Macaca mulatta: one gene and its partners. The protein of the gene in region 3 interacts with the protein of the main gene of each other region in a biochemical or structural test. Links are inferred from orthologs where the notes say so. Each region holds a gene or a part of one and is shown on either strand. Other genes may lie near its edges.

The links. The genes of interacting proteins can lie anywhere in the genome.
Region 1: the proteins of PRKN (region 3) and UBE2J1 form a complex in vitro, tested with the Homo sapiens proteins (4 studies listed by BioGRID). The link is inferred for Macaca mulatta from reciprocal best matches to the Homo sapiens genes PRKN and UBE2J1.
Region 2: the proteins of PRKN (region 3) and UBE2G2 form a complex in vitro, tested with the Homo sapiens proteins (6 studies listed by BioGRID). The link is inferred for Macaca mulatta from reciprocal best matches to the Homo sapiens genes PRKN and UBE2G2.

The regions. Positions count from the first base shown.
Region 1 is NC_133409.1:96,636,067-96,643,287, reverse strand, and holds the start of UBE2J1 (ubiquitin-conjugating enzyme E2 J1), read right to left. Parts: upstream 4,727-7,221; 5' UTR 4,410-4,726; coding exon 4,379-4,409; intron 1-4,378. UniProt on the Homo sapiens protein: Catalyzes the covalent attachment of ubiquitin to other proteins. Functions in the selective degradation of misfolded membrane proteins from the endoplasmic reticulum (ERAD) and is essential for cells to recover from ER stress.
Region 2 is NC_133408.1:2,723,506-2,730,847, forward strand, and holds the start of UBE2G2 (ubiquitin-conjugating enzyme E2 G2), read left to right. Parts: upstream 1-2,616; 5' UTR 2,617-2,720; coding exon 2,721-2,763; intron 2,764-7,342. UniProt on the Homo sapiens protein: Accepts ubiquitin from the E1 complex and catalyzes its covalent attachment to other proteins. In vitro catalyzes 'Lys-48'-linked polyubiquitination. Involved in endoplasmic reticulum-associated degradation (ERAD).
Region 3 is NC_133409.1:9,423,503-9,430,885, reverse strand, and holds the start of PRKN (E3 ubiquitin-protein ligase parkin), read right to left. Parts: upstream 4,590-7,383; 5' UTR 4,491-4,589; coding exon 4,484-4,490; intron 1-4,483. Other genes in the region: PACRG (parkin coregulated gene protein), read left to right, coding at 5,061-5,216. UniProt on the Homo sapiens protein: Functions within a multiprotein E3 ubiquitin ligase complex, catalyzing the covalent attachment of ubiquitin moieties onto substrate proteins. Substrates include SYT11 and VDAC1.

The DNA of each region.
Region 1 (7,221 bases), about 87 Mb from region 3:
CTGGCAACCGGGCTACAGCATAGTCTGCCCCTCCTGATACTTCATCTCTCGCTTCTACACGGCTAGAGAGGAAACTTTTTTATTCCAGCTCCTCCGCTACCTCTTGGAAAGGTTGTTCCATGGAATCCTTTCTCTGTGGTGAGATAAGATGTGCCAGGAAATGAGGGGGTGGCCCCTGGATGCCTGCTCTTGTTCTTCCTTCTTATAGAGGCCACATGGGCACTCTGGAGCTATGCTCTAGGTGCTGTGGGCCTAGGCATTAGCATTCTTCACACACCGGGGCTAGCTCACTAGGCTCACATTGGGGTTTGTATCCCGCTAACAATAAAGGGATCTTCTACAGGCCACTGCGTCCCATATATGGATTTCTCTTGAAAAGCAATTGATATTATCAATTCCCAAAGCATGAATGAAATTCAGGAGACACGTATATTAAGGAAGGCATGCTCCCTAACTGCCTCTTCCTGCTCCCATAATGAACGTACTTAAGTAAATGCCTACAGAGTGATGTTTCTGCCCAGGAGGACCCTGCAAAGGTATCAGTTCAACAAACATTTAAAGAATGTCCGAGTGTTGGAGATAAAAGAATGACCAAGACCTGCTTCTTGTCTTCCATAACACTGAGTAGAGAAAGACATGAAGATAATTACAACACAAGTGGTAATATTGACCAAGTATTTATGTACAAGTATATGTAGGAACTACTTTAGTCTGCCTAGGGGAGCTAGACAAGGCTGAACCTTAAAGCTTGAAGAACTATAGGAATTTCAGATGGATTTAAAGGAAGGCATTCTAAGCAGAGGTTCCAATGGGAACCAAAGCATGTAAGTGAGAAAAGCTACTCCAGCTGGAGAGTCATTCAGGCAAAATGGATAGGTAAAAATGCAGGCCTGGTGCAGTGGCTCTCACCTGTAATCTCACCAATTTGGGGAGCCAAGGTAGAGGGAACACTTGAGCTCAGGCGTTTGAGACCAGCCTGGGCAACATGGTGAAACCCTCCTCTCTACAAAAAATATAAAAATTAGCTGGGCGTGGTGGCACACACCTGTGGTCCCCATTACTCGGGAGGCAGAGGTGGGAGAATCGCTTGAGCCCAGGAGGTTGAGGCTGTAGTGAGCTGTGATGGCACCACTGCACTCCAGGCTGGGAGACCCTGTCTCCAAAAAAAAAAAAAGAAAATGCAAAAGAGCATAAGAATGTGGACAATGAGGCTGGTGAGGAAGGCCAGGGTCAATCATTAGGCCAAGCTAAGCAGTTTACTTTGAACTTTATCGACAGCTATCAGAAAGCTACTGAAAATTTTTCAATTTGAGGGGTAATCATTTTTTGTTTTAATTGATCTGGTGACAACAGTGACTGATTAGACATATGTGTTTGTGTGTGTGTGTTGAGTTGTGTGTTTCAGGGCAGGGATGGAGCAAGGAAGCCGACCAAGAAATAAAAAATGACTCCCATAGGTGCCTGAGTGCTGTCTATCCATGGGATATGAAATATTAGGGTAAACTGCAAGTTTAGGGGAGGAGAGGAAAACTATGAGTTTCGTCTTTATACTTGTAAAGATTTTTTTTGCTTTATGGGAAATAAAGATGAAGACGTTGAGTCACCATAAGTTCTGTGTATCTATAGCTTAGGAAAAGGGTCTGAGTTGGACATGAAACCTTGAGTGGATTAGTGTGAAGGTGCAGTTGACACCAATGGCATGCACAGGTTACTCTTAGACTTCTGGTGGAGGCAGTGGGTACTTTTGCACCAGTCTCTTATACTCCCATCACCTGCTGCACATGTCAATGGCCCCCGATGAAGAAGCTGCCAAAAGAGGTGCTATATACACATCTACTCACTTTGTACTATAGGACTCTACTTCCTTGGCCAGAGCGGACCCAAACATGGGTCAAGTAAATTGATCCATAGACAACTACTGACAGGTTAGTCAGAGGCTTTGAGGTGATCCTACACAACAGCTCTACCCACAATCACAAGTCCATTCCAAAAAACACCATAAAGGAAAAAGTTTCCCCACCTATGAAATGAACAAATTTACTATATCCACATGCTACTACACTGGCCCTTAACCAACTATCTGTATTGTCTTCACTTCATCTTTCCACTCATACATCAAAGACAATCCCACATCAGATAAAGAGTAAAAGATTATGTCTCTCCCGTTGTGTGGTTGTTTTTTGTTTGTCTGGTTGGTTGGTGTTTTACGTGTGTGTGCACCCTGCCGTACGCAGGAAACTGGAGTTTTCAGTTGCTCCCCTTCACACAGGCATTACTCTAAAAATAACACAGGACTGAGAATAAAGCAAAGGAAGGAAGTATTTTCACGATGCCTCCCAGCATTTTCAGTAAGTCCCATATCTCACCTAATTCAACTTCTCCATGAACTCCAAATAATTCACACATTAACAAAAATAGATTTTTAAGAAGCACTGTTTTTTTTTTTAGAACCGCAACACTATCTTTGAGGAAATGAAACCAAAAAAAGGAAGCAATTTATGACACAGTTAGAAGCATGTCAACCAAAGCTCAACCAGCTGACAATAGTTGACATACTTTGGAAATGTACAAAATTCTGAAGAATTTTAAAAACATCATCATAGTATTACGTCTAACCTATCAAAATTGAGCGATGTTTTCTGACAACAATCTCTTGGGTTCCACCAGTTCTCCATTCCAAACTGCACTACTACTCACATGTGCATTATTCTCTGGACCTTTCACTGAGCACCTCTGCTGTCCTAAGGAACCATGTGACCAGGAAGCCATCATACATTTTTACCCAAACAGTTCTAGTTAAATCTACCACAATGTAAAGAATTCAATCATTTTACCATCTACCTTAAAAATTAAGCTTTTCTTTCCCTCTTTCTCTTTGGTCTTTTCTTCCTCCCTCCCCACCCCGGGGTTCTTTTTGTTTTTTGTTTTTGTTTTTGTTTTTTTAGATGGAGTCTCGCTCTGTTGCCCACACTGGAGTGCAGTGGCGCGATATTGGCTCACTGCAACCTCAGCCTCCACGGGTCAAGCCATCCTCCTGCCTCAGCCTCCCGAGTGGCTGGAACTACAGAAGTGCGCCAACACCATGCCCGGCTAATTTTTGTGTTTTTAGTAGAGACGGGCTTTCGCCATGTTGGCCAGGCTGCTCTCCACCTCCTGGGCTCAGGCCTCCCAAAGTGCTGGGATTACAGGCATGTGCCACCGTGCCAGGTCTTCATCAGATTTTTTTGAGGAGTCAGTGGCCCCTAAAATATTATGACCAATTCTACACACTTGGTCACCTAAGGACATTTCTGAGCTTGACAGCACTCAGGTTAACAAAGCTCCCTCCAATCAATATCCTCAGGCTTTTCTGGGGTTTTTGCATATTCTGAAACCATACAAAAAACCCAAAGATTCACAATGTCAACTCTTTCCATAAGGATGCTAGTCTTGCTAATTCCTACTGAGAAACAGCTTTTTTTGGAAGGAAATGTTAAGCAACGCAAAAGTTAGTGAAATCACTAATACCCTAGAGTTTATCATGCAGAGTTAACTGTAGAGTTTCTTCCCCCTGACAAAATGTATCAAGGTACAGATAGAAAAAATACCATTTAGAGGATCCAATGATTTATTTCAAGCCTGTTTCATTAAGCTGAGAAAGCTAGTTGCTTATCTTTATAATGCACCAGAAAGTAAAGGTTAGTATTGCTGGGACTGCTTGTGTAAATAAAGCAGGATCATTAAATGCAGGAAAGGAATCCTACGACTGAAGACAGATATGTTTCATATTAGCCAGTCTGGCAAAAATCAAGGTTAGCTCTCAAGAACAGGGCTCAACTAGGTGTTTTTTGTTGTTGTTGTTTTGTTTTTGTTTTGTTTTGCTTTAGCTCTACAGTTAACTGGTTTAGTTACAGAACACTTCCTTTATGTCTGTAATTGCATTCGCCCAAGTGCTGCAAATAGGATGTTTAAACGACTAACTCCTCAAATGTGAGTAAATCAGCAGGCTAATAGTCCACTGACAGCGACGGGGAGGGAATTAACGACGGTGTTCAGGATGCAGGTACAGCGAGGGGGTTGCTGACTATCGCCCACCCACATCACCTTTACACCTGTTCTCAGGGATGAGTTTCTGACCCAGCTCTACGGGACCGGGCGAAGACGAGAAAAGGGGGAGGCTGGGTGCTGCGGGCGCTGGCCGGCCGGGGGATTGGCAGCGGGCGTCCACCCGGCCACCCCGCCCTGCGGCCTGCACTTCCCGGGCAGGCGGCGGTCTCGCGTAGAGCGCGAAACCAGGAGCTGAGCCGCGAGTGGCGCCAGACGTGAGGGGACCGCGGCGACCGCCCCGGGGTCCAGGGTCACTCCGCACTCCTAGCCCAGGGGCCCCAGCCCTGCTCACCCGGACTCTTCAGGTTGTAGCGGGTCTCCATGGCGGGTCGCTGGCCTGGCTCCGGCCTCCCGGGCAGCTGCCACCTCCTCTCCACGCGGCCGCTGCCCAGGTCTCAGCGCGGCTCGGGCGGACGGGGCCTGGCCGAGGAGCCTTGGCAAATGCCGCCCAGTCCAGCCCGGACTGCGGGCGGGTGGCAAGGCTGAGTGCTGGCGAGGCGCTGGCTTCGCGATGGCGCCGCCTCCTCCGCTGCGCCCCCGCCTCCCTGAGTGCCTGGCAGGCACCGGCGCCGGCCGGGGCGTCGCTGAACCCGGCGCCCGGGCTGGAGGTCAGCCTCCTCCGGTAGCCGCAGGCCCAGCCCCGTCGCGGCCGCCCGGCTTGCGTCACCCGCCCTCGTCCGGGATTTGTGAAGTTGCCCTGACGTGGCAGTAGCTTCGTGGCGGTCGGTCCCTACCCAGCCGCCGCCGGCCCCGCGAAGCCGGCTTGGGGAGCTGCAGGAGCGAGCGGCGTCCTAGTCCTCTCGTTCCGGCCCCCGGAAACCGGCCTTCCGCCGGACCCTCTGGGGTCCGTCCCCAGGCGCTGGCGGGTTTCACCGAGGAACCGCGCGGCGCGAAGCGGCTCCGGCCCTACCCGCTGTAGGCGAAGTCTGGGATCCCCGGGCCCTGGAGAGCTCAGAGAGGGCGCCGGGCTCCGGCTGCAAAGCTGTCCGCATCCGGCTGCCCGCGCGCGGTCCCGCGGGGTCTGGGAAGGGCTTTGTTTTTAGATCCAGTCCCTGTTGCGGGGGGCGGGAGTTAAGTGAGGAGGGGGAAAGCCAGTGATAAGGGAATGGAATAGGAATTTTTTTTTTTTTTTTTGAGACGGTGTCACCGCTCTGTCGCCCAGGCTGGGGTGCAGTGGCGCGATCTTGGCTCACTGCAGCCTCTACCTCCTGGGCCCAGGCGATCCTCCCACCTCAGCCTCCAGCGTGGCTGGGACCGCAGGTGTGTGCCATCACGCCCGGTTAATTTTTTGTATTTTTGATAGAGACAGGGTTTCGTCGTGTTGGCCCGGCTGGTCTCGAACTCCTGGACTCAAGTGATCCGCCCGCCTCGGCCTCCCAAAGTGCTGGGATTACAGGCGTGAGTCACGGCTCTGGCTGGAGTTGGATATTCATAATAGTTTTTTTTCTTGGGTAGTGTGTTAGGTGCAAGACGCTGTTTTAGGCATTGCAGGAGTTTTGGGTTTTTTGGTTTGTTTAGATGTAAAAGCTGTCAAAAAAAAAAAAAAGGAATTACATTGAATTTGAGGGAAAGCATACAAATATGAAAGGTTAAACTTCAAAGGACACACTTCCTGCTTCATTGTCCAATGTGTGGGATCGAGAGAGAGGACTGAGTTCAAAAGTCTCAAGGAGTAGGAACCTACCTTAGGAAAGGAAAGGAGGGAGGGATTGGGAAGGTGGGCCGGATAGAAAGGGTTAATCAGGTTGGGCAAGTTTTATTCTGTTATATAAAGATATAAAACTCTTAAATTTGATTTGTTTTCTATTGTTAATATAAATCTGAATTTCTTGGTGAAATTGGGAGGAAAAAAGTGAAGGGTATCTAAAATTAGATGGTATCTTTTAAACCATTCCCTGAGGTTGTTTTCTGTATAGTAAACTGATAATCTGATTGGCTGAGACATGCAAACAAAACCAAACTCCAATGCTGTTTCATTCATTCATTGTGTTGAATCTTCAGATATATCTAACACTTGACACCCTCTCCTGCCACAGCTCTACAAAAACCCCTAATTTGTGCAATAGGCCCTACCACAGCAAGGCCTGCAAAGCAGGTGCTGTATATAATGCGCTCCTATTTGATAGCTGAGTACTAGAAGCCTTTTGCTATTCAGCCTCCAGGTCCATCAATCTCTGGGTGCAGTTGTCTTCTGGGGCTCTTCTTTAGCCACCACCACCTCCTCTGCTCCCTGGGGCTCTTCTCCCACTGGACTGGTTCAGTAGAAATAATCTCTCCTTCCTTGGTTAACAACAATAACAATTTATTGTGGACATGTGCCCATAACAATTTAATTATGGGCATATATCAAAGCTTAATTACAATCATGCTCCAAGATCAAAGCCAATTCCAAAATTTCTCTCAGTAGAGACATTTACAGAGAAAAGATAAGTGGCCGGCCAGGTGCAGTGGCTCGTGCGTGTAATCCCAGCACTTTGGGAGGCCGAGGCAGGCAGGTCACCTGAGGTCAGGAGTTGGAGACCAGCCTGGCCAACATGGCGAAAACCCGTCTCTACTAAAAATACAGAAATTAGTTTGGTGTGGTGATGCGCGCATGTAATCCCGGCTACTTGGGAGGCTGAGGTAGGAGAATCCCTTGAACCCAGGAGGTGAAGGTTGCAGTGAGCCGAGATCAGCCTGGAAGACTGAATGAGACTCCATCTCAAAAAAAAAAAAAAAAAGGCCGAGGTGGGTGGATCACTTGAGCTCAGGAATTGGAGATCAGCCTGAGCAACATGGTGAGACCCATCTCTACTAAAAATATACACACACTCAAAAATTAGCCGGGCATATGTACCTGTGGTCCCAGCTACTCTGGAGGCTGAGGAGGGAGGATCAGTTGAGCTCTGGGGGATGGGAGAGGAGGAGCAGGCTGCAGTGAGCCATGATCGTGCCACTGCATTGCAGCCTGGGTGATAGAGCATGTCTCAAAAAGACACAAAGAGAAGAGTAATTTTATTTAAAGGTTACTGAATTCTTGACTGACGGTGGGAAGGGAGCTCATTTCCCCGGAAAATTTCTTATCCAAAAATTACTTATTTTTTAAATCTAGAACACTTACTTCTTCCAAGAAAAATTTACAAATTATATCAGGTA
Region 2 (7,342 bases), on a different chromosome or scaffold from region 3:
TGATCTCAGACTCCTGGCCTCAAGTGATCCTCCTGCCTCAGCCTCTCAAGTAGTTGGGATTACAGGCGTGAGCCACGGCGCCCAGCAAAGGCATGTTCTTGAGGTTGTCTTTTCTCTGAGATTTATGCGAATTGTGCATTTGGAAAAATAGATTTGTTGGGATTACTATTTTCAAGAACATTAATTATGAGAAACTGAATCTTTGGGTTAAATTGATGCTCCTGGAGGAGAGAGGACCTATTTATCCTGGTATCTATGCCTGGGGTTCCAACTGGAACTTCTCCAGCTTTTGCACCGAAAGGAACCCCCACTCCCAGGAAACTTGTCGTCTTAGCCATGCTGCAGGAGTGCCCAGCTGGAAACGCGTGATGTTCACCGGAAAGCCCCACCGTGTGACATGGGTTAAGCTGTGAGGTCCTTTTTATATTTCAGAACTTCAGTTGCTAAAGATAGAAGGCATTAATTTTATTCTGTACAGTTGGCCTCTCCAGGGTGTGCTGCCATGCAGTATTACACACTGGCTGCTCAGAACCCCTGGGACTCCAGTGCCACTTAGATCAAGTGAGTTGAGAGTTGCACGAGTTAGCCGATTAAAATACAGGATGCCCAGCTAAACTTGAATTTCACACAAGGAACTGAACGATGACCATGAAAAGAAATGTTGCAGAGAGCCTGGTTCTCTGAAGATAAGGTGGTGTAACAGCCCCGTTGAGGGGAGAGACTGCCATCTTATTTCAGCAACTCATATTTTGGACTTTTGTCACTTGAAGCCGAAGCTAATCCTGAGAGAAGCCGTAAACCACATTTCTGAAAAATAGTAATTGGAGAACATACAGTGTTCTACAGTAAGATGTCTGGAAAAGATTGATAAAATTATGAAAATATCCAGCATATGTTATAGTGAGCATCACGGCATTGACAGTAATGCTTTATTGCCCATATTTCCCATAACTGGAAAAGGGGAGCTGCTTTCCTTTAGTAGCACTGGACAGAAACGCCTTGGGGTGTGGGGTGCTGTCTGATTACAGAGAGAGCAGCTCTTGAATGGGGAAGGAAACACCTCCATTGTGACTTTTTGCACATTGCATTTGCACAAATTACTCTCTGAAACAGTCTCAAAGAACAATGTCATTTTTATAAAGCACTGTGTTCATTTGAAAAGATAGAGGTAGACTGAAATTCTGAATTTTAGGGAATTTTCCTACAATATGCATACTTGTGAAGTTTGCATTGTTAAATTTCATTTGATTTGACAAATCCGTATTAAGAGTATATGGTGTCCAGGTACAGAGGCTGCCCCAGAAACAAGACAGAAGTAGGCAGAGAACCTTGGCTCTCATGGAACACGGTTTTGGTTAGAAGCAACAGATAAGGGTAATAAATTTATAGCATGCTAGTAAGTTCTATAGTACGGTGTGTTGGGTAGGAGTTGCAGAGAGAAAGGTATGCGGTGAAGGCCGGGTGGTGATGGTCTAGGCCACACTGAAGAGGCAACATTTGAGCAAAGACTGAAAGAGAGTGGGAAGAGTTGGGGACCAGAGCCGCCAGAAGAAAGTGTTTCCGGGGTGGGAAAAGTCAGGGACTCTGAACAAAGCCAGGGCAGCTGGAGTGGAGTGAGAGGGATGTCGGGAGGGTCTGGGAGGACGGCGGGGTGGCCCAAGGCAGTGCTTTACTGAGTGAAATGGGCGGAGCAGCGTGTGAATGTGATCAGACTTCTTTTACAGAGATCATCTGCAATGCTGGAAGGGAAAAGACAAATGAAGAGGTTATTGCAACGAACAGCCAGGCAAGAGATGCAAACGTTTTTTGCAAAGGTGTGTGTGTATATACATCCTTGCACTGGACAGCCACGAAGCACTCACTGTGAAGTAAGGATGTGGTTTCAAATCGCTCACCTATTCACAGCGGGTCAATCGGGAAAGCACTCCCACTCAGTACAGCCATTACGGGAAAAGGGCTAGCTCCTTACAGGATCCTCAACTGTGGAGAGGCCGGGAGCCCACGCGGGGCGCTGGGGAGTCTCTCAGCACCCCAGGGGCTCGGGCAGGGACCCGAGCCGCGCCCTCCCTCCCGGGGGTGCCCTGGTGTCGAGGCTGCCCAGCGGAGCTGGCGGCTCTCTCCCTCGAAGTAGAAGGTGCTGGACCCGAACTCCAGCGGAGCCGCACAACACGTGGAGAAAAAGCGCCAGGACAGCCAACCTTCCCACCTTTTCAAACCTGAAACCCGGCCGGCCGGGGGCGGCTGGAACGTTCAGTGCGGACCCGTGCCTCAGGCGCCTTGTTCCCAGCCCCCGACCGCCCCGCGACCTCCCATCTCGTCTCCGCCCTCCCTCCCCAACTTCCATCCTCCCCACTACAAACTCCGTCCTCCCGCCCTTCGGCAGCGCGTGGCTGGCACGGAACAGGCAGCGCACACACTAGAACAGGCGCCACCGTTCAGGAAGTCTCTACAAGACCAGGACCCTGAGGCCTCTGTGCCGGGACCGGAACCAACCACGCAGAGCGACTAAGGACGGGGCAAGAGCCGAGAGAACCCGCTGCCGCCCGTTGAACTGCCACCGCCCCGACAGCGCGCTTCCGCGATTGCGCACGCGCGCTGCGCACCACGCCCCGGAAGAGTTCCTAGGCTCGTGACGGTGACCCGGAAGCAGCCCCCGGTGTCGGGGCAGGAGGGACGCGCGCGGCTGAGGCGAGGTCGCTCAGCGAAGCTGTTGCGGGGCCATGGCGGGGACGGCGCTGAAGAGGCTGATGGCCGAGTACAAACGTGAGTTCGGGGATCTGGGCGGTCAGCAGCGTCCCGCATTCCTGCTCCCGGGCCCGCGTCGTCCGGTGGGGCTGGGGCAGAGAGCCTGGCGGGGGAGCCGGGCGCGGGGCCTCCACCGCGAGCCCCGCTGTGGGTCCCCCGGAGCGCCGCTCTCTGCGCCCGCTGCCTGCCCTCACGCGTGAAGTGAGGAGAAGCCTTCCCAGCGTCGGTAAAGGCAGCGCCGGCGCCGTGTTAGTTGAGAGCACACACAGTTGAGTCTTTGCGGGCTTTCTTTTTTCTCTTTTCTAGTAATTCTTTTCTTGGCAGCCTTGAGAACGTGCAGTGAGAGCTTGGGGAAGAAGGCCTGAGTTGCTGCTGAGGAATTAGGGGGGAAAAGTGTATGCGTTAAAAGGGGAAAAAGACTCGTTGGTGGAGCTTTAGGTGAAAGGTCAGATTTTGGCTTTCCCTTCAGTGAAGGAAAAGGGCTTTTGAACAGTGCCACCTGTCACTCCTCCTAGGTAGTGTTGAGAAAACCTCATGAGTGCTTTCCTACCCGGTACGTTAGATATTTCTAATGTCTGAGGAGAGCGAAGGGAGAAATGAGAACCTAGGAGCACTCGGCATTCCATCGTTTTACACCGAATTCCCGCTCGGAAGAACTGCTGCGAGAAGTCTTGGAATGCCATTGTGTTGAAAGCGCCAGAAACCTGACTCGCCGGCGGAGACAAGATAGCCGGCTAAGAGCAGGGCCCGAGTTCAGACCCGGCCTCTCAGCTCCTTAGCTCTTTGACCTTGTTCCTCTCTCGCAGTCTCTGCAGTTTCTTTATCTTAAAAGGTTAAAGTTGATACTGCCGGTGAAGTGCTAAATACCTGATGTGTAAACTCTTAATAAAGTTAGCCGCTGCTTTTGTAATTAGATTGAGGGTAATTTTGGAAGAAGGTTAAAAATAGGCTGAACTAATGAATGTGATAAAACAGAAATAAGTGGTGAATATACATGTAGCTTGATTTCGTATAGCTGTATTGGTGACACTGCACAGTGAGAGTTGATGTTTGGCTTAAGCAGACCAAAACATTGCAAATACAGGTTCACTCAGGTATGGTCATTCATTCCTTGGTATCTGGAGGGGATTGGTTCCAGGCCCACCTGCAGATACGGATGCTCAAGTCTCTACTATAAAGTGGCGTGGTATTTGCATTTAATGTATGCATAGCCTCTCATAACTTTTAAATCATCTCAAGGTTTACTTATAGTACCTAATGCAGTGTAAGTGCTGCGCAAATAGTTATACTGATTTTTTTTACTTTTATTTTTAAATCGTTATTTTTTTCAAGTATTTTGTATTCCTAGTTGGTCGAATCCATGAATGTGCAGGAGCAGATACGCGGCCTGCTGTAAAAGTTCAAATAACGCTCGCCACCTAGTGTCTGCTAAAGCAGAACGTAGAGGCACACTTACTTTCCCGCGCACTTTGCTTGATTGAGTTTCACTTCGCAGATATTGCATGTTTTACAAGTTTACAAGTTTTTTTACAAGCAACCCTGCATGGGAGCAAGTCTGTTGGCACCATTTTTGCTCACTTCGTGTCTCTGTGTCACATTTTAATCTATTACGGTGATCTATGATCAGTAATCTTTGATTTTTTTTTTTTTTTTTTGAGACAGAGTCTCGCTCTGTCACCCACCCAGGCTGGAGTGCAGTGGCCGGATCTCAGCTCACTGCAAGCTCTGCCTCCTGGGTTTATGCCATTCTCCTGCCTCAGCCTCCCGAGTAGCTGGGACTACAGGCGCCCGCCACCTCGCCCGGCTAGTTTTTTGTATTTTTTTAGTAGAGACGGGGTTTCATGGGGTTAGCCAGGATGGTCTCGATCTCCTGACCTCGTGATCCGCCCGTCTCGGCCTCCCAAAGTGCTGGGATTACAGGCTTGAGCCACCGCGCCCGGCCGATCAGTAATCTTTGATGTTACTGTTGTAATTATTTTGGGGCATCACGAACCATGCCCATAAAAGATGGTCGTCCTAATAAATGTTGTGTGTGCTTCACTGACTGGCTGTTTCCCCATCTCTCTCCCGGCCTCTCTCTTCCCTGAGACAAAACAATATTGAATAGGCCAGTAATAACCGTACAGTGGGCTGAAGTGTTCAAGTGAAGAGTTGCACTCCACCCAGTTCAAATCAAAAACTAGAAATGATTAGGTTTAGTGAGAAAAGAATGTTGAAAGTCAAGACAGGCTGAAAGCTGGGTCTCTTGCACCAGTTAGCCAAGTTGTGAATGCAAAGGAAAAGTTCTTGAAGGAAATTAAAAGTGTTGCTCTGTTGAACACAATGAATAATAAAGTGAAAAAGCCTTACTGCTTATGTGAAGAAAGTTTTAGTGGTTTGGATAGAAGATCAAACCACTCATAACATTCCCTTAAGCCAAAGCCTAATCCAGAGCAAGGCCCTAACTCTTCAGTTTTATGAAGGCTGAGAGCAGTGAGGAAGCTGCAGAAGAAAAATTGGAAGCTAGTAGAGGTTGGTTCATGAGATTGAAGTAAATAACCTGTCTCCATAACATAAAAGCACAAGGTGAAGCAGCAAGTTCTCCAGAAGATCTAGCTAAGATCAAGATGAAAGTGACTCTTAAATTAAGCGATAGATTTACAAGGTACGTAAAATAGCCTTATGCAGTATTGGGAGGAGGAGATGCCATATACAACTTAAACAGCTAGAGAGAAGTCAGTGACTGGCTTCAAAGGACAGGCTGACTCTTGTTAGGGGCTAATGTCAGTCACTTTAAGTTGACTTTGAGTTGAAGCCAGTGCTCATTTATCCTTCAGAAAATCTTAGGGCCCTTAAAAATTATGCTGAATCTACTCTGAGCTCTAGGGATGGTACAACAGCCTGGATGACAGCACATCTAAGTACAACATGGTTTACTGAATATAAGCCCACTGTTGAGACCTACTGCTCAGGAAAAAACAGATTATTTTCAAAATATTATTGCTGACAGTGCACCTGGTCACTCGAGCTCTGATGGAGATGTATAAGGAGATAAATGTTTTTATGCCTGCTAACACAACACCCATTCTGCAGCCCATGGATCCAGGAACAATTTTCACTTTTATTTAAGAAATACATTTCATAAGGCCATAGCTGCCATGAAAGGTGATTTCTTTGATGGATCTGGGCAAAGAAAATCAAAAGCCTTCTGGAAAGGATTTATTATCCTAGATGGCATTAAGAACATCTGTGATTCATGGGAGGTCACCGTATCAACAACAGGCTTTTGAAAAAGTTGATTTCAATGCTCATGGATGACTTTAAGGGGAGGAGGCAACTGCAGATATGGTGGAAATAGCAAGGAAACTGCAGTTAGAGGTGGAGCATGAAGATGTCACTCAGTTGCTACAATCTCATGATCAAACTTGAGCAGATGGGGAGTTGAGTCTTACAGATGAGCAAAGAAGTGATTCTTGAGATGGGATCTACTCCTGGTGAAAATGCTGTGAACATTGTTGAAATGACAACAAAAGATTGAGACTATTCCATAAACTTAGTTGATAAAGCAGCGGCAAGGTTTGAGGGTATTGACTCCAATATTGAGTGAAGTTCCAGTCTGGGTAAAATGCTGTCAGACAACATCACAGACTACAGAGCAATCTTTGGTGAAAGAGTCAGTCCCTGTGGCAAACTTAATTGTTTTATTTTCAGAAACTACCACAGCCACTCCTGCCTTCAGCAACTACCACCCTGATCAGTCAACAGCCATCAATATCCCGGCAAGACTGCACCGGCAAAAAGATTATGACCTGCTGAAGGCTCAAATGATTGTTAGCATTTTTTAGCAATAAAAATTAAGCATATTTTGGCAAATAATTTTTTTTTTTTTTTTTTGAGACAGGGTCTTGCTCTGTTGCCCAGGCTGGAGTGCAGTGGCACAACCACAGCTCATTGCAAGCCTTGACATCCTAGGCTCAAGCTATCCTCTCACTTAATCCTCCTGAGTAGCTGAGACTACAGGCACGTGCCGCTACACCTGGCTGATTTTTCTGTCTTCATCTTGACCTCCATGTTGTCAGGGTTTGACAAAAGTGACTCCATTTTGATTCTGACAACGTTCATACTAGAACAGAGGATTGGATATGGGGAACTGTTACTTCTGTGTCCTCATGGGAAACCTGGCTGGTGGGTCAAATGTGTAAACACCTACCATTTCTTGGTGTCCTGGTTTGTGTTTGTGTCTCTGTTTTAGTTTTATTTTTGTCCTGTTTCTAGGATGAGGCTAGACTGTGAGCAGCCATTTTCTCATTTTTATTGAGAAGAAAATCATTAAACCCCTGCATAGGAAATTAAGTTCAGGCTGCTGCTTCAGGCCAGTCTTTGCGTTGTTGAACTTGTATTTTCTAAGGATATTTGCATTAGCAAAGATATGTTCTCCCTTTTACTGTCCTGACAAAAGCTTCATCTGTTATTTCAATTGTCAATTAGTTTGCAGTAATAAACCTAAATAATGGTTAATTTCCAAAGGTTTGTCACAGAAGTGTATTGTGTGTTTTTACATGTTAACATGAAAGTTTGGACTATGTGTGGAAGGTAGAACTCTAAACATACCTCCCTA
Region 3 (7,383 bases):
TAAAATGAGCTCATTAAATGCAAATGAAAACAGAAACATTGAATAAGCACTGGGCTACAATTAAAGGCTGAAGAAACAGTAGGTAAGAAGCAATTTTCATTGATCAAAGAACTAAAAGCTAACAGAATAAAGTTTTTTGCATTAAAACTGCTCTCAGGAATATGAAGCATTTCGAAGTAAGAACTCTTTTTTTTCCTGCATCTTTCAAAAAAGCTTTGGAGGTAGGAATGGATTTACATATCTTAATACAAAGTACTTTCATTGTATCATTTTCAGGCAATGAAACTATGAGGTTTCAAAAAATGCAGACTTCAAAAATATCCTCAGAAATAGGGCCAAAACTGTAAAGGACAAAGGGTCATTTTAGAGCTTTTGGACCGACTCAAGGAAAAACTATTATATAATTACATAAAATCTTCTATGCAAAACTTTATTAGAGCCTATTTTTGACACAATTTTACCTCATCATAAACAGAAGCTTTGGGGTACTTAGGCATAGAGCTGCTTTTCATCAACTTATTAAAATGGCAGAGCAAAGAGTAGTACACAGAATATTCAACTAGAAATATAAATTGAGACTTTAAAATTCACTGCACACACGCTTGAAAACAAACATGCAGATATATGGGCAAATGGTGAAGTCAGAATGCACATTCCTGATGGCAAGGGACTTTTTCTGCTCTGTTCCCTCGTTTCCCTGGCACCTAGAGCAGTTAAGGGTACACAGCAGGTGCTGAAATCACCGCATCTGCTTTTGTGAAACTAACGCATTATAAGATGAAAATGGGAAGTTTTCTTCCAAATTAATTTGCAAAGTTAAAAGATGCTGTTTTTAATCTGTCAAGAGGGCAAAAATAAAAAATCTTTGATGGCACATGGGAGGAAATGGGCACCCTTATACACACTGAAAGGGAGGGCAGGGCCACCAAGGACAGTTGTGCAGCTTGTACACTGAAAGGCACTACACCTAGGGTGAGAGAGAGGTGGGGACTGGAGATCTAGGAGGTGTTCTGCTAGTGAAAGCTGAGTCAGTCTCGGGAAGGACGTCTTTTGGTAATTTTCAGGCCAGAGGGGCAGGGCAGCTCTTTACTACCATGTTGTATTCGTGGAGGCTTTAGATAGCTTTGTAAAATAGGGCAACTTATTTTAGAAAAATTTTGAAATACCTAGGAATATTTTAAATCTGCAAACTCTTTAACTCAAATTGTCATACGATTTCTCTTTTACATATATGCTTACATGTGCAAGTAAAAAGATATGTCCACAAACATTTCTGATAACAGTTGTCTGTAAACCTGATGAGTGCTTATTTGTTGGTAAATATTTTCATTAGTGTATCCTATAAAACACTAGGCAGGAACTGCTGTGGAGTGAATCTGTACATGCAGATATGTAAATTCTCAAAGAGATGCTAAGTGAAACAAGGTATAGAAGAGACTATGTTCCAATGAATGGTTTTTGTCAATCAAAAATCTTCTTAAAAGTATAAGACACTGAATGTGTATTTCAATACTGACAACACTGGTGTATATATAACCAAGCACTCTAATATCTGCTGTTACTCAAATACCTAAATCCAGTTCTACAGAACATTTAGAACATACCACAAATTATCACCACTAACATTCCATTTTAAATACAAAGAACTGATCATTTTTTAAAAAGTCAAAATATATTTTTAATAGAGATACCAAAAATTACACTGTTCTACGTTGAATTCTTTTAAGCTTTTCTATTCTGCTTTATATTATCTTGAAGTCCTTCTCCACACCTTCCACAAAGGCACAATTTTTAACCGACTTCAATTAAATTACGTTTCCATAGCTGCCCAGGTCAGGGCATTCAACATATCAATCGCAGTCCAGGTGGGAAATGTAAGGACTTATGAAACAGTCCTCATCCCAAGAAGGGAATCTTTGGTTTTGAGAAAGTAAAAGGAAGGTACATTCCACTAGCAGTTAGGTCGCAGTCAGTCCTGTTTACTCCTCTTCTACCAGGAAACCCATCTTTACGTTTCTCCAACTGGCAGAATATTATTTGCATTAAGGTTGGGGCGGGAAATTAAAGAAAAATAAAATTAAAAAGAAAAAGAAATAAGTTTTCCTGTTTTAGGCTAACTTGTCCCAGAGGCAGCAACAGCACAGCCCAGATCCAGGAAGAGTCTTGATAATATTATCGAATGTGCTCTGGAGACTCTCCCAGCACTCCCTCAACACAGGGAGAAGAAAAACAAATTTTCCTTTGTTTTATGGAATCAGTTTATAGACTCTTGTTCTCTGTAACTAGTGATTTCAAGTATTCTGTTTTATCTAAGAAGTACAACGAAGGTCATGAGAAGCCTGAGTAGGCCTGAACTACAGCTGCCTGGGCACCACAGTGAAGGTTATAGGATAAGCCTGTGCCCAGGGAAACCTAGATAACGAACATCTGGGTTGCTTGGCGATGGTCATGTGCAGTCCTGCCTTTGTCCTGCCTCTGTATCCCTGCTTTGCCACCACTGTAAGTTTGCTTCAAGCTAGCCCACCTCCTTTTGTGAAGTGTGTATAAAAGTCAAGTACTGTCTTTATTCTGGGCCCAGTCTATTGCATGTGAGTCAGCTGGGCCTGAGTGCACTCGATCAAGATTCTCCTGTTTCAACCTGAGGTCTCTCTCGTCCTCCTGAATCCCGCAACAAGGTGAGTGTAACAGAGAAAGCATAGGCCTGAAAGGAGCAAGCTTTGAGAAGCACTCTTACCTTTAACAGAAAATCCCAGATACATACTATTTACATTTTGATCTCCAACTGATCACTGGATAGAATCTATAATGTCTTTCCTGGCTCTGAATTTTTGTCACAAAAACACAAAACCCATCACTCCAAGGCTTCCTTTTAATGGTTTTCACTTTCACCTACCTTTAGCACTGTTCACCACACCCAAATCTCAAACTGGCCATTCAGATGTTTACTGAAATGTGGCTAATGAGGCTGGGCATGGTGGCTTACGCCTCTAATCCCAGATCTTAAGTGCCTGTCTTCATATAGCTTTACAATAAATTTGTTTCTCTTAAAATTATCTGTGCACTAGATTAAGTTAAATTAAAATAAAATGTATTTAACTGTCTTCAAAATAAGGTATAGGCTATTTTCTTCCTGTAGACTACTGATAGCACGGATTTTGGAAAATCTCTTCTACTTGGTTTTCTGATTCAGTTCAGACTTGTGCTTACAAGTGAATCTTACGTAAATGTCACCTAAAAAGAGCTCAAGAAAACTCAAAAAATTATAACTTTTTCATAATTTGGTTAACTTTCAAGTCATTCACCAAAAGTCAGACCATGCTAGAAAGGGAAGAAAGGCTGGACAACATTCTTGTTTTACCACAGAGACAAAGACAATGCCAGTTAGCTGGCTTGATTCTCCCACTGATGGGCAGAATGTTTACATTTTAACAATAACTTCATAAATAAAAACAGATGTAGTACGTGTTTTCAGTGCATAAAGATCATATATTTTATGAATCCACCTCTCACCTTACTTCTGGACAGACCACATCTGACTTCGAACGTACTTACTGCAATCAAAAGTGTTTTGTAAGGGACGCTCCTCAGGAATTAGCCCTAAACAAGCTCACTAAACCCTCCATACATAACCTGGAGAAACTTCCACAATAATGAAACCCCATATAGCACTGGCTTCTAAACATATGGTGCATTTCCATTCATTTTTAGGGACAGCCCCTAAAGTAGTTTTTGGTTCAACAACCCTGGAAGAGGACCTTTGCACCTTTGCTCATCTTACACATCAAGTGTTCATGAACAACTCTGATGCCACTAAGTTTTGTTCACAAAATTGCACCTCGGTCATTGTGTTTTACCAAAAAAAAACAAAAAAAACAAAGTTATTTTGCAAAAGGCAGTAGATGTAATCTTGGCTATTATTTACTCTCAATTTTTCTTTCACCTCAGCCCTCCAACGAGAAGTTTAAAAGGAAACATCCGAGGGAGCAAGAAGTTTAGATTCATCTGGAGGAGTTTCTGTGGCGCCCAGCCACCCTCACCAGGTGCCTTCCATTAGAGTTTAATGCTTTGCTGGGGTTTCCTGAAAGAGCCCCACAAAGAGTGGGTCTCGATGGGTCCTGAACCGCACGACAACTGGCCAGGGCCTCGAGGGCGAGGGGCGGCGGCGGGGCGAAGGCTTCGGGACCCTACACGGTCCGGGGGACCATGAGCGAGGACCGGGGGTGCGGGGCCGCCTGGCGTCCCCGGTGAGGCGGTCTTCACGGGAACGCTCAGAGCAGGGGCGGGCGGGCGAGGGCTTGGAACGCACACACTGGGGCCCCGGGCCCGCGTCGCTGAGCTGGAGAGCCCGGCGGTGCGGGCCGGGTACGACATGGGCACTTTGGCCCCGTCACTGACAGTTGGCACCTGGGGTCCAGGTCGGCCGAGGCCACACCGGGGCGCAGGGCGGCGCAGATGAGGCTGTACCTGGCAGGTACCCACGTACCTATCATGGTCACTGGGCAGGTGGCGGCTGCGGGCCAGGAAAGGGCCTACGCGCGCACCGGCGCCAGCCAGCGCCTCCCACCAGCGGCTCTCCTGGGTTAAATCTTCCAGGGCTCCCCGCCCCGGCGCCGGGCCCTAGGAATGCGCACGCGCGGAGGGTACGCGGCCCAGGGCCTGCTGGGAGTCGTAGTTTTAATGCGTAGTTTCTCCTCACGCCTCCTGCCCTCCAGCTCACCGCCGCCTCCCTTTCCGGCTTCAGGCCCAGCAATCGTACGTCACCGAGGGGCGGAGCTATGCGCCCGCAGTGTTGACCAGTCGCTTAGCAACCGGGAGGCTTACCTTTGGAAGCTTGTTGCAGCTCTAGCTACGGTCCTGCCCTCTTCCCGCCCCACCCCTCCCCTAAACTCCCTTCACCTAGGAGCTGCCAAACATCTGGATCAACCTGGGCACTACGAGGGGTTGAATTTCTACCATTAACGCGCCTTTTGACATTTTTTTCCCGACCTCCTGCTCACATCCGTAAAACCCACTGATTCTTTTACTACACTTTTTATGAGAACAAGACATTTTCTAGGAAGATGGTGGCAGAAAAAGAGACCCTGAGCTTAAACAAATGCCCAGACAAGATGCCGAAGAGGACCAAGCTGCTGGCACAACAGCCGCTCCCGGTGCACCAGCCTCACTCCCTGGTTTCTGAGGGCTTCACAGTCAAAGCCATGATGAAAAACTCAGTCGTAAGTGATCTTCCTGAATTGAATGCACTCGCTCCGTATCAGGGGACACGAGATTTACAGAGGTTGGCCAGCCCTAGGATGGACTCTGAGCCCATGTCCTGGGTGGTCTTTGCCAAAAATGGCAATTACTTGGCAAGTAGCAGACGGTCCCCCACAGTGTGTGGGGGGCAGGCTAGGTTGTTAGAATCCTGGGCAAATGATATACTCTGCCCATTGATAAGCACCTTCCTGATAACTCATCGTTTCTAAACCGCCCAAAATTACTCTTACGCTATTTACACGAGGTAAAAAGATCCCCTTTAATTACTGATTGCTAACTAACCCCACTCAGCAAAGGGCCTTACAGAAGATGAGCTCTTAGAAATCATAAACTCTTGCAAAATTTAACATGAGCTGATATACAACTGGGAACATAAACTCATTAAATAATCTATAATGAGAAATTTTGGAATATCCTAGCAGTTACTCTAACAACACTTGTCTCTTAGAAAATGATGTCATCTTGTTAGAGTACTGAAAGCCCACTTAATATGAACACTGTTTCCTGACAGGCCTTTTAAGATGATGTGCTTTAAACAATACAAGCTTTAGCTCATGTGTCTCTGCTACTAATACAATTCATATTTCATCTGCATTATTTGTAGTAACAAAAATAAAATATTCTAAGTATCATTAGAGGAAAAAAAGATTAAAAATACATACAAATATTTTAGCTGTCTGCATGATAGTATCTATTTTTTAAACCTTCCTATTTGTTACATAGCTTTACACTTGGTATGCTAAGGCAGATTTTGCTACTGAGTAAGCACCTGTCTGGGAATGAGGCATTAAATAATAAATGCAGCTTTCAAATTCATATAATTTACACCCTGGGAAGATCTGAGTTATTACATGTGGCAATTCATTATGTTAAATGAGTAATGTTGTTTTCCAGTGTCACATTATTTCCTTTGCTTATATGTTGTAAACCTAATAACTTATTCCTAAACGACATACTTAAAATACATGAATGAAACAGATTACCTATAGACCTCTAGGCCAGGTTCCCATGTGGTTATGCAAAATGATATCCTAATTATTGAGAAGTGTGTCAGGTGATTTACAGTAGTTAAAATTCTTGGAAATAGACTAAAATTCTGCTTGTTGTAACTAATTCTTTTTCATGGAATTTCACATAAATTGGTTCTCCTAGGAGTCAAGATGATGCATTTATCAGCAATACCATAACCATTCAAGTTAATAATTTAGTTTTCTTCTACACAATATTTACAATTTTGGTGTTTTTTAATGTTATAATTGAATATCACAATTTTTTTTTTTTTACTGGTCAGGGTTCTTTTCTGTTATTTCCTAAACTTGTGTTCATAATTCTTGTATCATGTTAATTCTTTAATATAATCCTACGCCTAAAGAGATAGTTCTGCAAAATCTAATGTTTCTATATTGCCAGATGTAGTAAATATGCCTACATGACTTTAAAAGAACCACATTGATTATGAAGCAGGCTTCTTTATAAAGAACTTATTTGTGATACATTATCTTATCTTTTTATATTCTAAAGGAAAATCTTGTGCTAGCAATACTTCTCTTGCCATTGGAAATCATAATTCTTAAATGCAAAGATTATTTATCCATTCATCTACTTATTCAGTCAACAACTCTCTCTCTCTCTTTTTTTAATACCCAATACTTGTTAAGCACAGTTCTGGGGATTTGGGATCAGCAAAGCAAAGTCCCTGCCCTTAGTACTCCAAGGTAAACCAAAATAACAACATTCAAATCTTGATAAAAGAAAGCTAGACAATACTGTTTATACAAAATAACTTCAGTGGTACAAGAAATAAAAATTTTCCATTTCATAACCAATATTTACATTTCACCATTTTTATCTTTAGCAGTATAGACTTTTCAGCATTATAAGATCAAAATATCCTCATCTCTTTCTGAAGGTGTATTTCGATTCAGGATATGTATGACAATTTCCAGCTTTTCTTAATTGCGACCTCATGCTCAAAGGCCAATACCCTCCAAACCACTTTTCCAGTTAGATAAGTCACCATTCCAATGCTCTTCCACTTAAAACATGAAGAATTTTATATATCCTAAGGAGTTACACAGAGACTCCTGATATTTCTTTGAGTGCAATAGTGATACAAGTACATAAACT